4 linked regions of the Caenorhabditis elegans genome follow. The protein of the gene in region 2 interacts with the protein of the main gene of each other region in a pairwise test. Each region holds a gene or a part of one and is shown on either strand. Other genes may lie near its edges. The genes, in order: mom-1, let-607, clc-1 and unc-57.

Evidence for each region.
Region 1: the proteins of let-607 (region 2) and mom-1 interact in a two-hybrid assay, tested with the Caenorhabditis elegans proteins (one large-scale study listed by BioGRID).
Region 3: the proteins of let-607 (region 2) and clc-1 interact in a two-hybrid assay, tested with the Caenorhabditis elegans proteins (one large-scale study listed by BioGRID).
Region 4: the proteins of let-607 (region 2) and unc-57 interact in a two-hybrid assay, tested with the Caenorhabditis elegans proteins (one large-scale study listed by BioGRID).

The regions. Positions count from the first base shown.
Region 1 is NC_003284.9:6,290,811-6,298,861, forward strand, and holds mom-1 (Protein-serine O-palmitoleoyltransferase porcupine), read left to right. Parts: upstream 1-2,301; 5' UTR 2,302-2,316; coding exon 2,317-2,464; intron 2,465-3,466; coding exon 3,467-3,656; intron 3,657-3,720; coding exon 3,721-3,970; intron 3,971-4,404; coding exon 4,405-4,579; intron 4,580-4,628; coding exon 4,629-4,751; intron 4,752-5,285; coding exon 5,286-5,426; intron 5,427-5,582; coding exon 5,583-5,683; intron 5,684-6,982; coding exon 6,983-7,183; 3' UTR 7,184-7,495; downstream 7,496-8,051. Other genes in the region: Protein lev-9, read right to left, coding at 289-471, 537-717.
Region 2 is NC_003279.8:6,572,091-6,577,407, reverse strand, and holds the start of let-607 (CREB-H transcription factor homolog let-607), read right to left. Parts: upstream 3,405-5,317; 5' UTR 3,330-3,404; intron 134-3,329; exon of another isoform or gene 1-133. Other genes in the region: ipgm-1 (2,3-bisphosphoglycerate-independent phosphoglycerate mutase), read right to left, coding at 4,978-5,088, 5,207-5,317. UniProt on the Caenorhabditis elegans protein: Probable transcription factor, required during migration of the gonadal distal tip cells (DTC). Probably regulates cell adhesion of DTCs via modulation of expression of genes involved in integrin-mediated adhesion, including tln-1, src-1, and integrin pat-2.
Region 3 is NC_003284.9:11,045,744-11,050,073, reverse strand, and holds clc-1 (Claudin), read right to left. Parts: upstream 2,629-4,330; 5' UTR 2,465-2,628; intron 1,839-2,464; 5' UTR 1,832-1,838; coding exon 1,744-1,831; intron 1,693-1,743; coding exon 1,568-1,692; intron 1,523-1,567; coding exon 1,431-1,522; intron 1,384-1,430; coding exon 1,242-1,383; intron 1,006-1,241; coding exon 904-1,005; 3' UTR 799-903; downstream 1-798.
Region 4 is NC_003279.8:4,672,860-4,679,969, reverse strand, and holds unc-57 (Endophilin-A homolog), read right to left. Parts: upstream 4,836-7,110; 5' UTR 4,832-4,835; coding exon 4,496-4,831; intron 4,223-4,495; coding exon 4,094-4,222; intron 4,046-4,093; coding exon 3,893-4,045; intron 3,512-3,892; coding exon 3,324-3,511; intron 2,301-3,323; coding exon 2,246-2,300; intron 1,403-2,245; coding exon 1,118-1,402; 3' UTR 563-1,117; downstream 1-562. Other genes in the region: T04D1.2 (F-box domain-containing protein), read right to left, coding at 78-157, 207-299. UniProt on the Caenorhabditis elegans protein: Involved in synaptic vesicle (SV) recycling in neurons probably by regulating clathrin-mediated endocytosis. By controlling SV endocytosis, regulates the rate of excitatory postsynaptic currents (EPSCs) at neuromuscular junctions and thus locomotion.

The sequences.
Region 1 (8,051 bases), on a different chromosome or scaffold from region 2:
GCTCACCGCCACCAATCAACTAAATTTATCAACTGCTCGATAAAAGCTGAAATCTTTTTTCGTTGAGTAAAGTAGATTTGAAATTGTTTGTTTCACAAAATTGGTGATATTTTGATATTATCTTTTAGTGCATTTGATTTTTTGTTTATCTTGCTATAAATTTTGTTATATCTTTATATTGTTTTTTCAAAAAACTTAGGTTTAACTATTTGTGCACTTAAAAAATCTTCTTATTTTATTTTGAACCCGTAAACATAATTTTTTTAAATAAGGAACTTGAAAAAATACATTGTAACCTGCAAACAGGTTGTGAAGAACTCCATTCTTTGTTAGCCTGACATCTTCTCTGACTGGCACCAACTAGTATATATCCCTTGTTGCATCCATATTCTGCATTTGATCCAAATCGCAAATCACCAGCAGTTCGTATAAATCCATTTTCAATATTTGGAAGTGGGTGGCACATTGCAACTGAATAAAAACAAAAAAGTTCATTTTTTATATTGCTCAATAGACAAGATATTTTTATCACTCACTTGGGTTCACACAGCTCAAGCCACATTCTCCGTCGCACATACATCTTTTGTTTCTTTTACAATCTTCGTCTGCTATACACTCTTTTTTGCAATGTTTCGGCCGTTGTGATAGAGTAACTTCCGGACAAGATAGGGCCGACGCGTAGGTAATGGAGATGGCGAGTAGTAGTAGAAATCGCATTTAATTCATGTGATTTGGTACTATGAAAATTTTAAAAGAGAAATCCGCTTGAGTTCTTGCAAGACGGCATTCTTTCACCAGCTGACACGCAATGTATTGATTGATTGGGGTCTTTTCAAGGGTTCCCATTGTAAAGTTGCTCGAGTATCATGCTTGTCTGATCAATTATTTGCTGCGGGACATTGTGGCAAATAGGAACTGACTGCTGAAAAATTAGAGGTGAAGGTATTTTGATGTGATTTTTGCGGTTTTCACAACTTTCACAGGGTTACAGAAAAATCTTTATTTTTTTATTTTATTTTTCTCCAAAATTTGAATTCAAAAAAGGGGAGAATTTTGAGAAATATCAGTGAAGAAATACAAGTTTATCGCAGGGGCGACAAATCATATTTTTTGGCAAACGTCCTATTTGGAAATCGCCTTTTAGGTTTGAATGATTGTGGAAGTTTGAGATTTTGCAAAAAAATTGGTAGACTGAAAAATATAAAAAAACAGGAAACAGGTTACAATTGTAAATGTTTTGCTTATGAAAAATCCCTTAAAAAGTATTTGGCAAATTGAGTTTAGTTTCGGCAGATGGCCGAAAATGAAAATTTCTGTCAAATCGCCGCACTTTTAGAACAATAATTAATGCTTGCTATTTCAGAACTGTTTCCCCATAGTTGAATTTTAAAAAAAGTGCAAAAAACATTCTCGAAATGGAATAAATTGGACAAGTGAAAAAATCATTTTGAAAAATAAAAAAATATCTGGAGGTATGGGGAATCGAACCCCAGACTTCTCGCATGCAAAGCGAGCGCTCTACCCCTGAGCTATACCCCCGTACGGCATTTGAGTAAGAGACGCAAGTGAATATACATACATTTTCTCTCTCACCCATTGACAAACTGGTTGCCTCCCCGCGAGGTGTTCCTGTGAAGCGGGGGGGGGGGGGGTGTTCTGCGAGTTGTTGGTTTGCTGTTGAGATGAAGAAAAATAGCTTCTCGCGGACGAGAAAGTGCAGCTAATTTCATTTTTTTTTTTTTGGAAAATGGTTTTTTATTGCTCTCTATTATTGAGAAAACAAGAGATGATCTTAAACATTATTTTTTGCAAAAACTGTTATCTTGTCTTTTTTCATTTTAAATATGTAATTTGTAATTTCATCACATATCTGTAAAATGAACTCATCAAACAATAGTGCTGACCGTTGTAAAAATGAACCGCAATCTCCGAAATAAAACTTTAATTCTTTTAGGGACACTCAAATCTTCCCCCAACAAAACTATACTTTTTTTGGTTCCATTTGTTTGATTTACCATGTTACGCTTAAATGTACTTCACTTGACCGATCCGACCATAAAACTTTGGTTGCATGTCCAAGGCACATCTGTTGTGTGTGACCTCTCCCCACATTCCGGCGTAGCCTCGTTTACATTTGTCCCCTTTTGTTAGACGCAAGAACTATGCAAATTCGCTCTATTTCACTCGTACAGACAGTTGTTTTTGTTTTGGTTTGAATTGGGTTTTCTGGGTTAATTCTAGGTTTTTTCTAGCTTTTTAGTTTTTTTGCCGTTTGGTAATCGTTAATATTTCATCAATTTCAAAAATTTTCAGAAAATGGATAATGGTCACGGGTATGAAGAATTCGAATTATTAGAAGATGGATCGCTTGGAGAGTGCTCGACACAAGTGGCAAATGCAACATTTCTCACAATTTCAAAGTTGATATGTTTGGTCGTTGCATTCAAATTCATCAAACATATACGTAAGTTTTGATAAAAATATAAACTGAGACAAAAATACCTAACAAAATGTTTTAAAAACTTTGTTTCAAACAAATTTGTTTCTAATTTGTTGTTATGTTCAAATTGGAAAACACATGTGCTTGCTTTATTAATCTTGCCAAAAAAAAAATGACTAAAATTTTCACAAAGTAAGACTGATCTAGCTAGAGATAAGAGCTCCATGGTGAGACGGTAGTCTTAAGTGGAGTAACGCCAGTGCGGAAATTGTTAAAAACGACTTCTATGGTGCAAAAATAGCCAACTATTATATTAGCACTTTACGAAACTTCTTATTTTGTTTCAATAAGTGGTAAAAACTCAGTTTCTGCATCCATCTTTAAAAGTTGTCTATTGAAAAAATTTCCTTTGAATTTTATGTTCTTGTTTCAAACATTAATATTTAAACATTGTAGGGATTCGAGCATGCGACAGTGCTATATTTATCTCGAATATTGGCGAAAACTCAAAAATTGCCACATTTTGACAGTCAGAAAAAAGGTTCTAAAATTTTTTGAAAAGTTTTAACATGATATCTGGTCATTTTAGCACCACAGATGTGGTTTTTACATCTGCATACTCTTTTAGTAGTGCGGTTTTATAAACTAATTAACTAATTACTATTAACTAATAATTAACTAAATTAATAAATAATTAACTAATTACTAATAAACTAATTAACAAACTAAATAATTAACAGAGTTTCCTACTGGATAGAAAATTTTATCCACAGAAAAATGTTTCATAATTTGATAACCGATGTTTCAAATTATGTATGTATTGAAAAACATACTAAACCTATTATTTTAGAAGGAAAACGTGAAAATTTCGAAACCAAGTCATTCATTCGTTCGGGAATTCAAAAGTTACTGAGTATTTTTATAGTTGCAAAATTTAAGAAATCATAGTAGTAAATCAGTTTTGTGTGATTTTTTCAAAAACTGGTCAATTTCAGTCTTTTAGCAAATTAATTCCCCTTTTTGTAGCAATTTCAACAACGGTTCGTGTCTATGTACATGTCTTCGCCAGTACTTTCACAGTTATGTGGTTTTCAAGAAATCACCTACAATCGGCTATCATTTACAACATGTTCAGTTTGATATCGCTTGCACTGGCCATCAAACAATTTAGTGGATACATCATTCTTGCAGGGAACATCTCTCTTCTGATTGCATTGTAAGTATTTTTTTTATAAGTCAAGCGTTTGTAAAATTTGTGGGACAAATTAAAAAATTTTTAGGCAAAACTTCTGCCGACACTACAGATCCGAAGACTACTTTTTGTCCATTCGTGGAATTTTGATGATCCATATAATGAGACTGACCACGGTTGCCTTCAATCTGGAAAAAGCGAATAGCAACAAATTCCGATTTGTTCAGTTTTCCAGTTATGTTGAGTACATTTACTTCCCACCGTTCATCATTTTCGGGCCCTATTTGAGTTTTGAGCAGTTTTTCAAAATGAGAGACAAAAAGTGGACAGGATCTGAGGTTTGTTGTGAAGTTTTGGGAACTAAGTCGTAAGACTATTAGTAAGTTCTAAGTGTCAAAGTGTTAAATACGTTTCAAAATTTTTAATCAGAAAATTTTAAACCATGGCTACAGTTTTGAATTTGATTTCAGAGTTGACCTTATAGGAGCGCTACTTTTGAATAAAAAGTGTAACATAACTACAAACCAGCCTCCGATTGCTGTAAAACAGAACTGTCAGCAAAATAGGAAACTTCAATTAAAATTTGGCAATTTTTTAAAAAGTTTCGAAACCCCTAAACGTTTTTAGCAATTTGTAAGAACTTCAATTATGACGTTTAGTTTTTCGGGGACTTTTGAAGAATAATAATAAAAAATTGACCCGTGAGTCCTCCTTCAATTAAAAACCCGAGATTTCATTGGTAATAATAAGAATAATATATCACTATTTTTAGAATGAGCTCGGCTTCATTATTCAGTCTCTCCTTGCAATCTTCAATGCGATCACTCTGGCAATCATATCTTCGTGTCATTTTGAATTCTTCGAACCTTCATCTCAATTTATGGAAGATGCTCTGACAGCTATGTCGTTCCGGTTCAGTCACTATTTTGTCTGTCTAAGCACTCAAGGTAGCCAAACATTCTTGTCTGTTGAAGATAAACTGACATGTTTTTTCAGCATTTGTGTTGATGTTAGGATCAGATGTAGTCGTTGCCAATCCATTGAATATTGAATTCTCCAGATCAACATTACAAACGGTCTCAGAATGGAACAAACCATTTCATACATTCCTGCATGAAAGTGAGTAAATTTATTTTAACAAATGATCGGAAGTGAATCTAATCAACATATAATACATGAAGTCATGTTCAAATACACTATTTTTTATTGACTTTGAAGAAATCTTCTACGTATTGTTATTTGATTAGGGTTTTCTTCCATAGTTCGTTGTTGGCATCGGACAACAACGGCCAATAGAGGGCAATCAGGTGACATCGGGCAATTAGCGGGTTGCAGCAGGCTATTGGGGTCGGGCAACAGTGGGATGTTGCGGGTGAATAGCGGGCCATCTAACCTCAAATTATTTGAAAAACGTCGCCCGTTATTTCTCACCTACTTGCCCGCTATCACCCGCTACTCACCCGATAGTCACCCGATAGTCACCTACTGATATTCCGCTACTTGTCCATTTTTGCCTCATTCACTGTTAATGCTTGCGTAAGATCTATAAAGCAGATTCATTTTAATTATTTGAAGAGCTTTTTTTTTTAATCAACAAACTTAAAATTGGAAACAAACGATACATTTCGTTTTTTCAGATATAATATTTTTCAGATATTTTCAAAAGGCGGTTGTTCAATTCCACTGCATGTAACGTTTTCTTCACGTTTGCAGTCAGCTCACTTTTGCACGGTCTTGACTTCCAAATGACCATTACACTATTGGCTCTTGGTTTTATTGCCTATTCGGAAACTGGTAAGTGAATTAAGAGATTTTGCGGTCAAATTGAGGTTGAATTTAAAGTAACTTTTATCTATGTTATATGGAAACAATACATGTAATTTTATATATTTCAAAAGTTACTGCAAAATGTCTCTACTCCACTTGTATAGTTTAAGATTTTTTTTTCAGTTTTCCGAAAACGACTTTCTGCCCGATACTCAATGTGTGTTGCTGCCAAAGCCTGCCCTGTCCGTTCAAACAGTCTTTCCTGCAAGCACAGACACTCAAACGTGAGTAATTATTTTAAGCGAAGGGACACCCAATCGATTGCCCATTTACATTTGGCGCAGGGGGTCACCATAGATAGGTATCGCGCAGGGAAGATTTACCGCCTTTCGCTTATTTAGTAGGGCACGCAAATTAGTATGCTTAACTGTTAGAAACACGATAAAACACGAATAAATTAACCACGGGCCCTTTTTTGGACACATTTGGAGTTTGCAAATATCGCATGGTTTATAAATTTAAGAATTTGCAAGAGTTGTCCAAAATAAATTGAGCTAACAATAATTTTGAACGTTATGAAACGTTATGATCAAAACATGACGTTATAAATAGTTTTTTGTCAGAAAGGGTATACGTTCCAAGTCAAAGTTTACTTTTCTGAATTTAGACTTTTTTGACTTGATATTATGATAACGTTTAATGTTTGTAATTTGAAACATACTTTGTTTTACTACTACATGTTCAGTGAGTTTCAAAAAATAACAACAAAATCATGATACTTGTTTCATTTTACGTTTTATTTTCATTCAAAGTAGCAATAGAATTTTGAATGAACAAACCCAGAAAAAAATCAAATTTCTAGGAAAAATCTACATATTTGGAATAAAACTAACTAGGCAATGGTCAAAACACTAAGTGGCCATTTAGCCCAAGACGTAGTTAAGATAAATATTAAAATGTAAAGAGAATATTAAAATCAAAAAAAAAATCTTGAAGATAACAGAATATTTTCAAAGCCTGAGTTATAACACATTTTTTAAAGTTAGGTTGTGTGGAAAAGTCTTCTTCGAAACTGCTTATTTCAATATGCTAATTTGAACTTTTAGAAAAAAAAACCATTGAAATGTAGGATATTGTTCGTTTAATTTAGAATTAACATTTACTTCTGTCTAAAATTTTTTAAAAAGACGTCGAATAGTGCATGTAAATTGTAGCTTACCAAAAACAAATTTTCAAAACAATTTAGCTGCATATGACAATTTTATGACACTTTTGAGACCTTTTTCGAACTGCAATTAGAAAATTTATTTTAGCTCTAACAAACGTTGTTCTACATTTCTAAAAGAATTTTTGATTCATATCGTTAGATTATGAGATATGGCTGTTTAATTTCAAAAGTTTCACATTGCCGGACACTAATTAAAACCAAATCCGAGCCACGCCACCAGGCTCATAATCACAGCTCATTTCTTGTATTGCTCCACACGTTTCATTCAAGTTTCCATTTGGTAAAATATCATGGTTTCTTTCCAAATTAATTCCTTTTTTGAAGGAAACACTAAAATTGTTAACTTATTTTACAGAAAACAGGACGTGCTTTGATCATCAATTTGTTCTTCCTTATGCTTTCCATGTACCATCTTGTGTTCACTGGAATGACGTTCACCGACGACTATTCTGCAATTGGCTATCCTTTTGATCACGCCTGGAAGATTTGGGGATCTCATTACTATTCGAGTTTCATGATTTCTTTCCTATTTCTTGCCCTGTCTAAAATAATCTGAGGTTTTGAAAAGCTGAAATTCAGTTGTCAACATTTTTCAACAAAACCGTTTTCTATGCTTTAGTTCTCAGTCCTGGCCATGTTCTCTTACGAGCTAAAACTAAAAATCTATTTTTTCTGTTTAATGACTCAAACTCGGTTAAGAATTTTTCTTTGCAATTGTTTTAGTTACGATCTTTTCATCCTATGAATTATTCATTCCGCGTTGTACAGAAGCATACATTTTGATTTGCAAAATGTATTTACTTGAAAGTTAATCACACTGTGAAACACATTAACATCCATGTGAAAATAATAAAAGAACACTTTGGTTTTACACTAGTTTGCTTAAAAAATATTAGAAGCGTTGAAATATAAACTTGCGTTGTAAGCACGAAAACGGTCAAATAACCAATTTTAAAAAGATGACAGGGAATGTGGCGTGTCATGAAATTGCATGTCTAAAATCAGGAGCAAAGAGTGAAAATTATTATCAAAATATCTCAACTTTTAGAAAACTGCAACAATCAGTAAGAATTCACATTCTTTCTCTATTAGCTAATAATTCATTTCAATTTCCAATTTACTCATGATAAAGGTCTAGACTTCTCACGTTTCTAGCCACATATACATTTTATGTAACGAAACAGTGACGGTCCATAAGTTGAAACCAACTGCAGTAACTCGTCGTTTGCGTGGCGACACCTATGCACGTAAGATCTGACAAAAATACTCCTCTCCAAGCGTCTACCAAATATCAAAATTAGTTTGGTAAATAAAATAAAAACCAAAAGAGTGTATGAGTTCGCGTCTTTTTCTGGGTAGTTGATAGCCAACATTAAAAAATGCCACGGCTTCTGAGAACCAACCGATTTTTTTTCTGGTTTAAA
Region 2 (5,317 bases):
CCGAGAGGGACAAACATAGAGAGAAGAGAGAAAGCGAGTCAACCTTCCTTTAACTAAAGGAAGTCTCGGGGGCCGCCCATTCGGTCAGCGCAAGAGGTCTTTCCCTTCGGGATCATCTCACACACTAGGTCAACCATACAGACAGTGCCTAGAGTGCAAGAGAATGTTAGAGGCGTAGAGACATTTGAGGGATGGTATTTACAATAGTAAGGGACCAGCAAGTGTTGTATGGAGAATGATGCACGTAACATTCGGTAGTAAAGTACCAGAAAGACCTTGAGCAGTCAGATAGGGATGGACCAATAAGAAAAACAAGTGGTTTTCTTCAGACTTCCAAGGACTTGTCTAAGGTTCCATGTTCCAAGGACATAATGTCTTGACTTTTGAGAAGGTGGGTGTGAATTAGGAACACTGCTGTCGTTTAGGTGACATCTAGGAAATCAAAGTTCCAATTCGAATCGGCTTTTCGTGAGATATTCTATCAACTAATCTAACGTGGGCCGCAAAGAGAACGCTAAAAAATAAGAATGGTAATAAAGTGGTTCTCATATCTGTTTGATTACTCTAGAATTTCATTTTGATCCCCTCTAGATCAATTGAGATTTCAAGAACACTTGCCGCCTCCAATTACCCAGCAGGTTACCCGGAGACATGACGTCCGCAATGCGATAAACTGTATTCGTTTTTCTCCAATCAAATCTCGGAAAGGTTATTGCGCCATCTCTTTTGCTTCTTTTGATTGAGACGGATGACATGCCGACATTACCTTTGGGTTATCCGTTTAGGTGCGCTAATCCCACAAACAGATCGCGCAAATAATATAAACTGCCATGAGAACCAGTGAAAGATGAGCCGAAATTATCGAAGGCCACGTACAAAATAGTTTTAAAAATATATATAGCAGCATGAAAACTAGATTATAGCCTTGACGCTAAAAAACGGTACTCCAGGCAAAAATATTAAAAGAAAAAACCGATTGAAGTAATGACAATTCAATGCGAATTTGGATGTATTGAAAGTTTTCGTCCAACACTATTTCCCAAAAACCTCTACAAAACCAGAATATGACGGTATTCGTTCGTCGATCACACTTTTCACTGTTGGTCAAGTACTACTATTACTACTTCAGCTAGCCGGACAAGAGAACACAGAAAAAAGAGGAATAGTGCGTAATTCATACATATACCATACATTCATAACAGAGACGCAAATGACTCATGGATACTGTCGGGTTTTGTGAAAGAGAGCAATGATATTTATACAGGTACGTACATCCTACTTATTATATGCAAATAGAGTATTTTGGTGGATCTAGAATATTGAAATTTAGCTAACAAAACCGTCCAATTTCATCGCAGAACTTTCTATGAAAAAAGTGAAAAGAACCACAGGAATAACTATATTGCAAAGAAAGATGGAGAGGAAAGTGAAAAATAAATATTTTATTGTTGGCCATGAAAAAAATCAGAACAGAACGCAGGCCATTGACGGGAATATTGGAAAACGGAGAATCAGCCGGAAATATTATTATTTTTTCATATTTTGACGCACATATATTTTGTGTAAGTTAAAGATCCCAAGTGTTTTATGGACATCATCTAAATAGATTGTGAGTCTATCCACGCTCTAGTTCCAGTTATGTTCAGAAAAGAAATGCCAACACGAAGAACGGGATAAATAACAATTGAAAAAAGAATTCATACTTCAAACTGAGACATGTCAAAAAACGAATGGAAACTTGAAGCAGAAGAAGCCAAAGGAGTGGATGTAATTATGTAAACGAGTGACAAGAAAAAAAACTATACGGAATCTGGGAAACAGCAAATTTTTTTCGAAAAACAACAATACTAACTGGCTTCATATACTTTCAAAGAGGTAATCGTGGAAATTACTCATAGATACCGTACCCTAGTTGTCATTACAATTTTTTTGATTTTCCGGTTGTGAGCACACTTCAAAAACATAAAATTTTCTCCTATTTTCAAATCATATTTATAAATAAGAATTAATCTTCAAACCAAACAAATACAATGTTTTGATTATCTATGGAGATGGAAAATGAGATGAGCCATTTCGGTCTAATGAGCACGTGCTTTATTCAACTGATATTTTATTTACTGACATTCCTATCGGATTTCAATGAAAATAGAGGATAGTTTTTAAAATTGAAGATATATGTATGTTTCATAATTGAGCTATTGAAAGGCTAAATTAATTTTTCAACAAAGAACGCACAATATTTCATAATTTTTCGAGTTATGGCCCCGGAACGAGAAAATCTGAATTTCCAAAATCTTTCAACATTTTTAAGTGATATTCTCAAATAAAAGTTCCTAAATCTTCAAAATCCGTTCACTTTTTCCTCATCATTATCGCACCGAAACCGGGCTTCATCCTCTTTTCGCTGTCACTTCATCTTCGAAAACCGTATCAATTATAATCTCGTCGCGTCCGCTTGTCCACACACTTCTGGCTTCTTCTCTACTGCTTTCTGGTCATTATATTCATTCTCTTATTAGGAAGTGAAAAGAGAGAAATAATGTTTCTCTTCCATTCCAAGTTCCTCTCTCTCTCTCGGTACAAACTTCCTTGTTCGTGTAAATCGTTTGTATTTCTACACAAAAAGGGAATCACTAACGGTATGTAGATCTTGTTATTCAATGCGGGAAAGATGACGGAAAGGAAAATGAGAAGAAGAAGAAGAAAGGAGAAGGTTCGAGAATAAGTTAAGAAAACTTGTAGAATAACAAGTCGTTCACCACAGGAAACCGGTTTTACAAAATCGGAAAGGATTACATTTATGTACAGATATTCGAAAGTTTAGGGGATTTATAAAATTTATGATCGATACGAAATAGTTCTAGAATTCACGAATCCCTTTTAAGACAGAAATTCCATAATTTTTTTTGAATTTTTGCTATCGAGTATTTAGTGTAAATTATCCATTTTCAGCCCAAAACTGGCTGCTATCCGTTGACTAAAATAAATGTCAAGAGCTTTCTTTCACTGAATGTGGGCGGAAATGAATGCAGAAGCGAGCAGCAAAGAAACAGTGAAAAAGAAGCTGAAAAGGGAAGTGAAAATATAATTTGGATTGAGGAAACGAAAAGATGGAAAGAAAGCGAAACGGGGAGAGCAGCTAAAAACGGCTATTCCATAAACAGAGCTAGAATTGAAGAAGAAGAGGAAAAAAGAGAGAAAGTCCTGAATACTGGACTCTTTAGTGGAGGAATGACGCGAGCATTTGAATTAACAACGTCACTTCGTTTGTTTTTTTTTTGTTGGAAATTTAAATAATTTTAAAAGATAAACATTAACTGAAAACCCACCTTCTTCAGATTTATGGAGAAGAGAGCGTGGCCACGTGGCAAATTTTGAGATGAGAAGACCGCTTGGGGAAGTTTCTGAAAGATTTGAATGGATTAATATTATATTAATCTGAAAATAACGAAGAAAACACAAATTCAACGTAAATATTTGAAAAAGAAGCCTCGACAAGTACCGTAATGCGTTTCTAAAGGCGCACGGATTTTTTCGGATGGGTCTCGCCACGAGAAAAACAATTTGCGGAAACTTTTGCGGAATTTTTTTCAAAGTGGACACTGAAAACACCAACAAAAAATCATTTGAATAAATCTCTGAGTTTCAGAAAATTGTGAAGGATATAAAAATTATTATGTCCAATTGCCTTTTTTCCTTTTCCATATAGTTTTCTGAATTTTTGGAGACCCGAAGAACTCGGGGGATGTCCTATTGGGGGATTACCAACTCGGGGGATTGGCCCCGCCCACAGAACCGTGGCTTGCAATACGCCCATTTTTGCAACTGCCGCACGGTTTTAAAATTATTTTTTCTTGTTAATTCTCGCTCTATTGAGAAAAATACAGTTTTAAAACCGTGCGGCAGTTGCAGAAATGGGCGTATTGCAAGCCACGGTTCTGTGGGCGGGGCCAATCCCCCGAGTTGGTAATCCCCCCAATAGGACATCCCCCGAGTTCTTCGGGTCTCAATTTTTGTATGCTCGATTTTTTTCTCAACAAAATAATTTTTCTTATTTACACTTTGTAAAGTTTATAAAATGTACATTTACTTAAAAACCAGAAAAATATTCTGAAGATTTAAAAAACGATGTAATTCTTTAAAATCTATGATCTGCTGATTAAATCCTAAAAAAATCCTAAAATTTTCTGTTAATTAAAAGGTCAGGCCATGTAGCCACGTATCTAGGGCAAGGTCATGTAATTTTCATGTTTTTTGCTTCATCAAAATTCGATCAAACACGTATTCAAAGTCAACGAAAAATAGAATTTCACCTAGTAATTTCGATTTTTCTCAATAAAACTGGGTTCGTGGCACAAATAGGTCATTTTAACTGAGTGATGCTAAAAAACGATAAGGAAAAGGCGAGGTTTCTGGAGTTTTCAAACGAAAGTGACATCAAAATGCTAGCAACATTTTCTCCAAAGAATTTTCGAGAAACTATAATGAAAAATGTCACACAGAGAGAGCATTAGAAGAAACGATAAGATACTAAATCAAGAGAGTTTGAGAAATTAAGAGACGCAGAGAAAACCAATGGTTTTTCTCAGTTCGTCCCAGTAAAAGTCCGATCAAATCAATCTTTTGCGAGCCGTCAGAGTGCTCCGCAGATGTGCTCAGTGTGTCTATTGGCCAAATGTCACCATCAATTGACCCTTCAAAAATGTTGAGCAACTGACTACAGAGCTCATTCCGGAGCAAGAAAAAAAACATAAATAGCAAATAGAATATGAGTCATCCGACAGGTCATAGTAATGAATGAAATATTTTCTCAGTGCAATATAATTTTATTCATACTAATTTAAGGATCTAAATACATAAAAATTTTCAGACTATAAACAGAATTGAATAGTAGGTAATTGGGAAGAAATTGGACAAAAGAATACTGTAGAAAATATAGTTCATAGAACTTGAATATTGAAATCATTGTACTTGAATCTAGATCTTCTGAACAATCGAGACCCCAGTCATTTCAGCTGGTTGAGGGAGTCCCATAATAGCGAGAACTGTTGGAGCAACATCACAAAGGGCCGGATGACGGTCGGCTGGCTGTAAACGTGTGAAGTGAATAGCTATTTACACCCGTTTGTAAATTAATATTTTCATTTAACATATGGGTTTCTGTTTTTTTTTAAATAAAAATTTCAAACGTTTGACAAAAACTCACATCGACAAATTTGAATCCTGGATGGCTCAAAGTGAGTGGAACACGGTAACATGTGTGAGCAGTGTGTTTTCCACCATCTGGAGCCTTCATCTTTTCAGCATTTCCGTGATC
Region 3 (4,330 bases), on a different chromosome or scaffold from region 2:
AATCGGTTTTTAAAAATTTAGTAAATTATTATCTGAATTTAATTATATATATTTTTGCAGAAGCTGTTTCATGTTTTCATAATTATTTTTCGTTGAACTCTTAATGTATCAATTAAAGTCTTGTTCATGAAAAAGTGAATTCAGTGATTGTAATAAAAACTATTAATTTGACACAAATTTTTAAATATGTTTATTTTAAAAAAATAGTGCAAAATAAAATAAAAACACATTTTTAATAAGCGGAATATGTATATTGTATATAGTCATATATTGAATTGTCAGTCAGTTGCTTTCACAGAAAAAACAACTTTTTAGAATTCATGTCACTATCTAAAGATTTTCACCAATCTTTACTTCTATCAAAATGTTTACAATGACTCACTTTTTCAACCTTTGTTGCACAATACATCTTTCAATTTTTGCTCAAACACTTGGCATTGTTACATTTCATCTAACATATTATGTTCCGAGTTCAACTAATGATCTTTCTCGCTGCGCGCGTTTTTCAAATTCTTAAGAAACTGTGAAATAATTGACTATGTTCTTTGACCGAGCCTCAGTAGTGATGCCTCCCACGCCGCAAACTTGGGAGCAACAAGTCGAAAAAAATCGACAAAAATTGCTCCTGATCTTCGTGACACGTCAGTGTGTCACTAAGAACAGACATATTCACATGTCTTACCACAGTTCAAAAGACCTTTTACAAACACAAAACCGTTACATTTTTTGCCGTCCCCATCTTGCCAGTCTTGTTTGCACTTTTTCAGTGTAGTTCGGCGTTAAATGCGAAAAACCAAGTTCAAAATCTTACAAAGCTTTAACAAATAGATTGGTGCCGACGTCTGGGCTGAGCAGTTTATATCACAGAAAATGCAGGGAAATAATAAATATAATCAAGTTTAATTAACAGCAGTGTTCCCCAAGACACACTGTTAGTGCTCCCAAAATGACATCCGCCGCAGATAAGATGAGGGCTCCAACTGCAAGCCAAAACGAGTATCCAAGCTGAAAAATTAAGTTGTGAGTTTGTACAAACAAAGGTTTATGAGCAGCTTTTGCGCCTTAGGGTATGTGCAGATTGGCCAAAAAGTTGTTCAATGTGAGATAGGGAGGGTTTCTCAAAGCTTTATAATCGGGTTTTAAAGGGTTAGAACATGTGTAAAAAAAGAGTTTTAGTGAAGTTTAATAGTTTCAATCAAATAATTTTACACTTTTTCCCACATTAAGAATAGCATTCTCACCTGCGAGTTTGTATTAATTCCATTTGTAAATTGATTCCATTCAGCTGCATAAACAATAACAGCGATGAGCAGAAGAATAGTAGAGATGACTGCAAAGAGGGTGAGTGGATGGATGATATATTTCTTGCAGCAGCAGGCAAGGCTGAAAGTTGTTTGAATTATATTAATGTCGGCTTTCGCTAATCTAACCATGTCAAAAAGTTGTAGACAACTGCAAAAATTTGGACAATCAAAGAGAGGATCATGCAGACGACGACACATTTCATCCATCCTGGAAGATTCTGAAAACAGTATTTTTGAGCATATAAATAATTTCATCAACATACCGCCCACCAATCCTGACACTGGGTTCCCTGAGAGTGACCAATACATGACCAAGGCATCAAGCCATTCCATTCAGATGTGTTGATATGAGTTATATCTTTCACATTATTTTCAACAGTATTCCAACCTGAGAGTTTGAAAATTCACTTTTTCTAACATCTCCAAAGATGAAACATACTTGGCGTAAACAAAGCAACTGCTGTTAAAATAGCACTACCAGCCATAATAAGTCCATAGAGAATTTGGGTGAGTCCGGAAAGACACATTGTGAACCTGAAACATATGGTTTTAATTTTAATATTTTTTTCAGAAGATTGACGGACAAAAAGTATTAAAAAAGTATGAAAACAATTTCTCCTAAATATGGAAATTTCTATTGACGACAGACAAACACATGGTGGCATCTATGCAACCACCTAGTTACGGAATGAGAATGCACTTCAATGTAAGAATGACGACAGCACAAAATACTAAAATAGCCTGCACATTTGACAACTATACATCTTAACCAAAATATGAAAATGATGAAATAAATGCTCAAAGTGGGCAGAAACAGTGTTTTTCTTATCGCCATTGCCAACTGGGCTGTAAAAGTTTGGGAGGGACACAGGAAGAAGTGATAAAACTAGATGCAAAAAGTCAAAACGGATTTTTTTAATTTTTGAATAGATTTTAGATACTCGGAGAGTGAAAAATAAAACAACAAACGTCGTTTGAAGCATTCAAAATATTTTCACAAAACCTGATGTATCAAGTTACATTACTAAAGGACCAATTTTGGAAGAAAATTTCACAACCCGAACTAGTTTTCAAGAAATAAGGAATGGCAACGTGCTATGTCACACAAACTGGAATGAAAAAAATGCTTCATAGATAAGATTGAACACTCAAATATTTACCTTAAATGTCGATGGGACGGCGTGAACTTGATAGAAAATATGAAAAATGTGTGTTATATACAAGAGTTAGGCTAGTTTTAAAGTAAAGAGGTGGAGAGAAATAAAGCGTTTGCTTGCTCGTATCAGTAGAACTCCTCGACACGTCATGTAACCGTTTTCGGTATGATTCAGTCAAGAGATAGACCAAAAAATAAAGTGTTGATAAGAAACTCAAGTTGGGCGTTGTAGAATTTTGAAAGTTGACATAGAGCCATTTCTTAATTTCTGTTAAAATTCTTTGTGAGTCAGCGAGTTTTGAGCAGATGGAAACGGTGATTAGTTCGTATAATCGTTATCAACTTACAGTCAGATGCTCAAATATTTCGACGAATTTTCCTATCATTTCAGCCAGTATCTTTCGTAGTTTTACAAAAGTGGAGTTTACGGTGAATCACGTATATGCGAACACAAAAGTGACGTGTTTTCATTTTTCAAAAACTTTTGTTTAGTAAGCTTCACTCAAAATGTTTTGAAACAAGCTTCAAACTTTCAAATGATTTTTTTGTGAATATTTAAAAAAAAAACTGATTTATTGGCAAGAAACAGGTGGTTTCAGCTAACTTTCTTTTTACGTCTGGAAATATAAAAAATTCGAAAACATTTTTATTTCGTGGAAATAATAATAACTTTAAATTGTTGGTTTTTTTTTGGTAAAGATTGGAAAATCAAAGCTAATTAATTTTCCAATCAGATCGTTAGCAAATTGTTCAAGATTTTTATCATACATGCCTGAACAATAATATTTACTAGAAGGTTATTTGATGTTTTAAATAACCAAAACAATAATGATAAACGGAATTTATGACTTGACATTTTTCAAAGTGTATCAGGTATGTGAAATAACCGAACCTTTAAAGGTGGAGTAGCACCAGTGGGGATTTCGTCTAAATGCACTTATAATGATCTAAAACAACCGAATATCATAAGAAAAAACTCCAACAAATTTTAGATGTTTTCTAGTTTCCGGTCAAAGTTTTGGCAAGTTGTCAAAATTTTGAAAAAAATGTGAGTTTTGAGGAAATCCATAACTATGTCGAATGTTCCGACTACTACAATATTCTATTACAAATAGTTAAAACAAAGTTACAGTATGATAAAAAATGTAGGAACAAACTTTTTTTGGTCGACTTCCGAAATTAGTTGCAAAAACTGAGTAATTTTCACATTTTGACAGTAAACAAAAAAAAAGTTTTCAAAAAAATTTTGAAACATTTTATTATGCTATTCGGTCATTTTGGAACCATAGGAATAGTTTTTCACTCTTTCCCTACTAGCGCTACTCCACCTTTAGGTTTTTTTGAGTTTGAAGACTACCAATGTCAATCTATAATACAAAAGAAGAATGTTGTCTATTTCAGCATGTTGCAAAAAACGTATGAAACTTGGAACATCGAGAATGCTCACGACACGGGTTCACGACGGGTTCACGACACTAATTGTGGATTTGTTTGTTTTGATGGACTTGAAATAAAACCAAAAAATTGAATTTCACAGTGAAAATTTCTGTAGTTATCAAAAAAACGCTGAAAACTGGACCAAATTATTTTAAAAAATTATAAAAATAAGCAATAGAAGCAACTTGGCAAAAATTAAAGGTTTAGCATAGCTTGGTTTCTCTCGAACGTTCCAATTTCCATAAATCCCTACTGAAAGAGTTTTGCTAATTCAAATTACGAAAATATCATATGTAGTAGATCTGTTCGATTTGGGTTTCCATTAATACAAAGTTCTCAAATTGCTAACTAAAAATGAGTAGGAATGAAAGTAAACAGAGAAACAGTTTCTTGGAACATATCCTCAAAAAACTTAATTTGAACAATTGAAGTA
Region 4 (7,110 bases), 1.9 Mb from region 2:
TTTTTTGGGCAAAAAAATCCCGCCTTTTTTGTAGATCAAACCATAATGGGACAGTCTGACACCACGGGATAACTTACACTGAAAAAATACTTAATTGATGAATAACAATTCGAAATGCTAGGTATGGTAGTTGGAGTAGATTGAAAGAGTTACATTTCTGAAACTTATAGTTTTTGATCTAACAAATAAAAATTAATTTAATTTACCTTCTTCTGATTGGAACAACTTCTACCTTTTTTAATTCGATTTGAATTCCATAGTGAAGAAAATGGACGAAATGATAGTTGCATTCGTTTCATGTTCAAAAAAAAATCGATGAGATATATGGTGCACAGGTATGAGAGCAGATGGTGCAAGTATATGACGTCACTAATAACATAACTGGGTGTCTGTTTACAGTACTCCTCGTGGACAATATAATATTCCGGATATTTCGAAATTTCGTTTTCATTTCAGTTTTTTATTGATTTTCTTGTTCATCCACTTCTTTTTTTAAACAATTTTAAAATTGATAAGACAAGAAATTTGACTTTTTTCCATCTCCGAGTTCAAAAAAAAAATAGTTTAAAATCAAATTCATATACTCGAAAATAAGTAATTACGAAAATAAGTAATTTTGCAATGAATTTTTTGATGTTGAAAATAAGTTACTAAATAAAGCTAAAAAAACTAATAACATGCTGCTATTTTAAGGGAGATTTGATAAATGCACATTTTTGGTAGTGTAGAGAGTACATAGAATACATGGTAATGTGGGTCAGGGTATTGCTATTGGAAAACGCATCGGGTGTGGCAGACTGGGGGAAAGTAGTGGATGTATATAAAGCAAGTAGTGTTTTAATAAATACAAAGATTTCGGCACAATGGATCAGGAGAATTAACTATTTTAGCCTCATAGAGACCATAGCCCATTCTCTTCTAAATGAGTACTTTTCAGGGGTTCCTAGAGAAAAAGTGAGATTTGGAAAGGGAAATAAAATATTTTTGTGAAATAAAATTCAAGAGACAAAGATGAGGAGCATGGCTTTGGAGTTGGGGAGAAAACGAGAAATTGGCAATAAAACAGCAAAAAATGGAAAGAATTGACTGGGTTTTGGAGGGAGAAATACATTTTTTTTTATTTAAGAGGCACTAGAACCTGTACATAGGTAACAGGGAATAATCCAGTTTTTCCATTCACACGTCCTTCGTACCAATTCTCATCAATTTGTGATACCAACTCAATCAGTGTTCCTTCTTTGAAATCCAGTTCTCCTTCACTTTGAGCATCAAAATCGAATAGAGCTCTGCATTGTGGCTTCTGCTGCTGGGAGAGTGGAGGTGGAAGTCCACCTGGTGGAGGTCCTTGATATGATGGTGGTGCTTGTGTTATTCCTCCTCCATTTTGTGGTGGCATCTTAAACTGGACATAATATTAGAAATTGGATTGAAAATTGAATTACTAGGTTTTTATTCAAAAACAAAATATTCTAATCAAGGGTATCGCTTTTTCGATTTTTTAAAATAAAAATTGAAAAACGAATAGTTTCGATTTAGAAAATTGATTTAAAAAATTCAATCTTCAAATTTTTTATGCTGATGGGAAAATACACAATTCTCTTATAAAAGTAACTTATTTTCAACAAACAAAAAATTCGACTTTAGAAAATTGGTTTTTTTTAATTTGTAGTTTTTTTTCGAGAAAATTTACCCGTTTTAAGAAGAAAATTGACTTTTTTTTTTCATCAACCAAATTTTTAAAAGTTTGAAATTTTTTGTCAATTTTCCCAATATTTTTCCGATTTTTAGGATTTCCGGAAAACCGAAAAATCTGGAATTTTCGTTTTTAAATTTTTAGTTTTGTCGGTTCGAATAGAAATTGATTTTGCGAAAAATTTCTTTAAAAGTTTAGACACTTCTGTTTTTTTAAAGAAAAATTATATGTTTTTTATGAGAAAAAACTAAAAAATTGAAATATTTGGTTAATTTTATCCAGAAAATTGATCAATATTTCGGCTTTCTGAAAAATCAAGAATTTTCAGTTTTCTCGTCTCGAAAAATATCTGAAAAGTTTGATTTTTCAATAAATGTTTCAAAAACATTTTTTAAACATTTTCCGGTCTTTTTACAAGTGTTTTTTTAAAATTATACCATTTTCCAAAAAATTTCAGTAATTGAAATCCGAAAAACTGAATCTCCAAAATTCGTGTTTTTTTTGTTGAAAAGTCGCACTTTTTTCAATTTTTTCTGAAACAAAAAAACGTACGGCTGCGGCTGCCGTAGAATTGTGACTCATATCCGATGGAGCAGGCGATCTGAAACTGAAGAGATGTTTTGGAAGAGGCTTTTAGCATGCAAAAAATAAAAAATCAATCACAATATGAATCAGGGAGTACTGTAGCGGGGGGTACTGTAACGAAATTTAATTCTTATTTTTTTAAAATTAAATTTAGAATGTTTTTTTGGTTGTGTCGTAGAATAATTTTCAATTTTTCGGTTTTTTCAAAGATAATCAAAAATCAAAATTTACGTTGTTTCTTTTAATAATTTTTTTTGAAATTTCTCAACTTTCAAAAAAACTTAAACTAGTCTAGCTTAAAAAACACCGAAAACATTTCAATTTTTCAATATTTTCGTGTCAATCAGTCATTAAACGATCTTTTTACATTCATATTCCTTCCAAAAAAGTATTCCTCCGGCCGTAAAAAGACATAATGCGATGTAATCAATCATAGACTCTGCATGTCTATGTCTGTGCTTCATATGTTTTCCTCCTTTTTATTACTTGTGAATGATGCTTCAGTGCTTTTTCCGTTTCTTAAGAGCACAGGGGGTTTTCTCTTTTTATGATGCGTGGGACCTTTTTAAATCGAAAACAAAAATGGAAAACGCCTAGTTCCGGCTTTATATATTTTTTCGTATCTTTTGAAAAAACTAATTTTCAGGTAGATTTATGAAATAATCTCTGTACTCAAAATTCAAAATTTCTTAAAAATAACTAATTCTATTCTAACTTCTCGTACAATTTTCATGGCGTTTCAAAGTTTTGAGAAGAAAACAAAAATCTAAATTTAGCTTTAAAAAACTTCAATTTTGCCAATTTTTCCGTGCCACAGCGGCCCGAAATTTCAATTAATCCTCCAATATTCAACATTTTTTTTGGTAGTTTATTCAGCTTTTTGGGGCAGCTCCATTTCAATAAAATGTTGGCGAAATTGGAGATTTCAGCTGAATCTCAAAAGTGCATCTCAAGAAATTAGCTGTTTTTTAAAAACTAGGTCTTTTTGAGCGTTCAAAATCTCACAACAAACATGCATTTTCTCACTCTTCATGCTTATACCAACCTGGATCTTGGAGTTCTGCTCTCATTTGCAAGAACTGATAATGGAACATGCTCTTCACGAGGCCTGGCAGCTGCATCTTTGATTCGATGGCCAAGTTGTTGCTGTAGATTTTCGAGACATTGGGCTGTTTGTCGGTGGAAATCGAGTTGGGCTTCAATGAGGGCTCGTAGTTGAGATATTTGCTCGACCTGAAAAGAATTTTTTTGTGATTATATCTAAAAGGGGAAGTGGAAAAAAATTTCAGCAGATTAAAAAAAAATTAAACTTTGACAGCTTATATTGAAAGGAATTGTATAAAATACTGATTAAAAACATAGTATAGAACAGGATCAAAATTCGAACAATCCTCGTGGCCTATGATTTCGCTAGTTAAATTTTGAAGGTTTTTCGTTGATTTTTCTGACATAAAAATTCGAAATCTTAACGGATTTTTCCCGTTTTTCTTTTGTTATATTCGTAAGTTTGAGAATAATCCTTCTTAAAAATAAAACTAAGGGTAACCGATGTCAAATAGCAAGTCTAATAGGGGAAAATAGTAAAAACTTCCAAAAAAAAATCGTAAAACTCACATCATTACTAAGCACATTGAACATTGACATTTCAGCGAGTCGCTTTGATTCTTCCAGCTTCTCCTCCGCCTGAATCATCTCATCATCACGTCGTTGCTGACGCTTTTTGCAGTCGTAGTCAAGTCGACGTCCTTTCAGTTTTGTGCGGTGGTGCTGAATAATGAATTAATAATAAACCCTTTTTTACGCAAAAAAGCTTACATTCACATCTTTCAGCTCATTATTCTGCAAATGTGTTAATGGATCGAGAAAGTTTTGTTTAACATTATCCTCCATTTGATACTTGATATCAGCCATTTGTCGATACGTTTCTGCAGCATCGTTTAGGCTCTGGAATTGAAAAAAATTGTAATTTAAAATTATGATTAAGAAGATTTTGAAGCCGTGCAAAAAATTTTAATCTAAAAAATACCGAAGTAGTGGTTTTCTAATATCAACCTAATGTTTCAATTAAATTATTAATATAAACAAAATAAATAGTAATTTTATTTTTGCTGTATTTTGGTCACATTTTCAGAAATTGCTCACAGAACAAATATTGACAAATGTTGCTAAAAAATGGGTTTTTTTTCAGAAATTAAAATTCCAAAAGGGATGGCAAACCTTTCCCAAATCGCTGTTATCACCCAATTGTTGTCCATATTTCTGCATGACGTCAGCCAACATTCCTTCTGTTTGTGGATACGGTGACGTTTTTGTAGTTCCACGAACTTTTGACAGGGCAACTTGTGTGGCCATTTTTGCTCGAGTAGCTGGATTTGGTTGAAGATATTCATTTGTTCCGGCGACGAGATCCGTAATTAAATTATACGTTGTATCCACATTTTTCTCCATTTCATTGAACACATCGTCAAGTTTTGTTGGCTCTGCGGCGCCCATCGTCTCCGAAAGGTATTGATTCGCCTTGTTGAATTGCTTACGTAACCCCGACAACGACATTTTTCTGAAAATTTTGAGTTTTAGATTCGGAATAACATGTTAATTAATTGATAATTAAAACAACTGAAAATAAATATTCAAAAACCAGACTTATTTTCCTTTAGATTTAAAACACTTGGGAATCACGGTGAGCAAGATTTGAAAGTTTCGATAAAATGAGCTTCTTGAATTCTTGGAGTTTCGCCTGTGGATTTTTTATTTTAAATGAAAGAAAATACCACTTAAAGATCAGATAAAACTGTTGAAAAATTATAAATTCTAATGATTTTGTAATAATAAATTAAAAAGTGTAAAAATAATTTCCACCCTTGTTTCAGCAGTTGGAATACAGTTTTTTTTAATCAAAATATTTATCTTTATTGTATATTTTGGTCGGTTTTCTAGAAAAATTTCGATTATAAGCAAAATTTGGCACTTTTTTCGGATTTTTCATCAAATTTTGAAATTTAAAAACTATTTTTCATAGGTATAATCTGGTATTTTCTATCAATTAAAACAAAAAAATCCACAGACCCTCAGGCTGTATGTAAAACTTTGCATTAAACCTTAAAACTGAGAGAACTAAAGGTTGAACATTATAAATTCATGAAAGAAACTGTGCAGGAAATCTAAAATAAAACTGACATCAGGTAGATCGCTACAAACTTTTTCAAAAGTACAACTCGAATTTTCAGTTCGAAGATAAAATCCTCAAAAGTGCAGTTTTCTCGGAAAAAGCATTCCAAAAAGAAATGCTAATGTGAATGATCTTATGATCTAGGATTTATTCTGATGTACACTTTTATGGTTATAAAGCATGAGAATGAGAACTGAAGGAAGTTTTAAAAACTCTAAATTTCAAAGAAAACAAGTTCCCAGTAGAAAGGTAGAGCTTCAGAAAAGTTGCAAGAAGCAATTAAAGAAAAAGCCTGCTTCGGAGCAAGAGAGGTAGTTAACCATTAACTAGACCTACTTTCGTATTCCGGAAAAAGGCGGGGACACACACACACAACACAACGCCGGACTCTAGTAAAAGGAGAAGCACGGGAGAGAAAGATGGGGGAGGAGAAGCCGTTGTGCACGGAGAGCTCCACCCCCTCATCTTCTTCTTCGTCTTCTTCTCTTCAACACCGCCAACCCCACAGATGTATCGATTCAGTTATTTTCGTTTCGTTCCTCTGTGTCCTCCATCCTCTCTGCCTTTCATTTTTTTTCTCCGACCTCGGGCGCCCTCTTTCCGCGCGAAAAGAGAGAGAAAGATGAGGAAAAACTCACACAGACACACGAAACACACTACTCTCACACATAGTTCCAACCGAAGAGAGCACCCCGAAAAAATAGAAGACGTAGATTACGTAAAGCAAAGAAAACTGAGACGAAGAAGACGCCGTTAGTGGTGGTGGTGTTGTGGGGGAGGAGAAGGTTATTCTTTCTTTTATCTATGTGGCAGATAGAGGGAAAAAAGACGAATCGGTGTATATTTGCTTGTGCATGAAAGACTCTAGCCTACCCACTACTTAATGTTTGTGTGTGTGGATAGGCATAATGATTGGGCACACTCAAGGGTTGCTACTTGGAAAAATCTGGAAAACAATTGGAAAAGTTAAATTTTATCCCGACAGAGAGCATTTGTTGGATAATGATTAACGAAATTTCACTTTCCTAGCATAAAAAGAGTTTTAAAGCTAAATATAATTTAAATGCAGCTTTTTAAAGACGGGGTTGCTTAAAATGCTAGAAAATGGAGCATAATGGTCGAATTTTAAAAAAGTGTTTAAAAATTTATAAAATTATTCTAAATTTCAAGAAAAAAAACCAATGATTTTTCAATTTTGCAAAAAAATTTATGACATTTTCTCGTAAAGAAAACTTGATAACCCGAAAGAAAATCTTCAAAATTGGTCTAAAAATCGATAATTTTACATAAATTTATAATTTTTTATGGAAAACTGAAAACTTGAGAAATGTTTGTTCATTTTTTTTACATTATTGAATTTATTCGGTCCATTTTTATAATTTTAGGCAAAATTCTAACCCTTATGTCTACCAAGATTATGCTTTTCATGCTGTTTTTTATTTGTTCATGAAAAACTTGTTTACAACTGGGTAAAATGATTTTAAAAAATTAAAATTTGAAGATATAATCGATATACAAGTTTTGAAAATGACCGCTTCCAAAGAAGGAATATGGATTTTAATGATTTTCCAGCTCTGCAAGATTTCTGGGACGAGCTTTTTTCTTCAAAAATCAGGGAACTACTAGCAAGAGATTGACAACTAAAAAAATAAGAAAAAGTGAA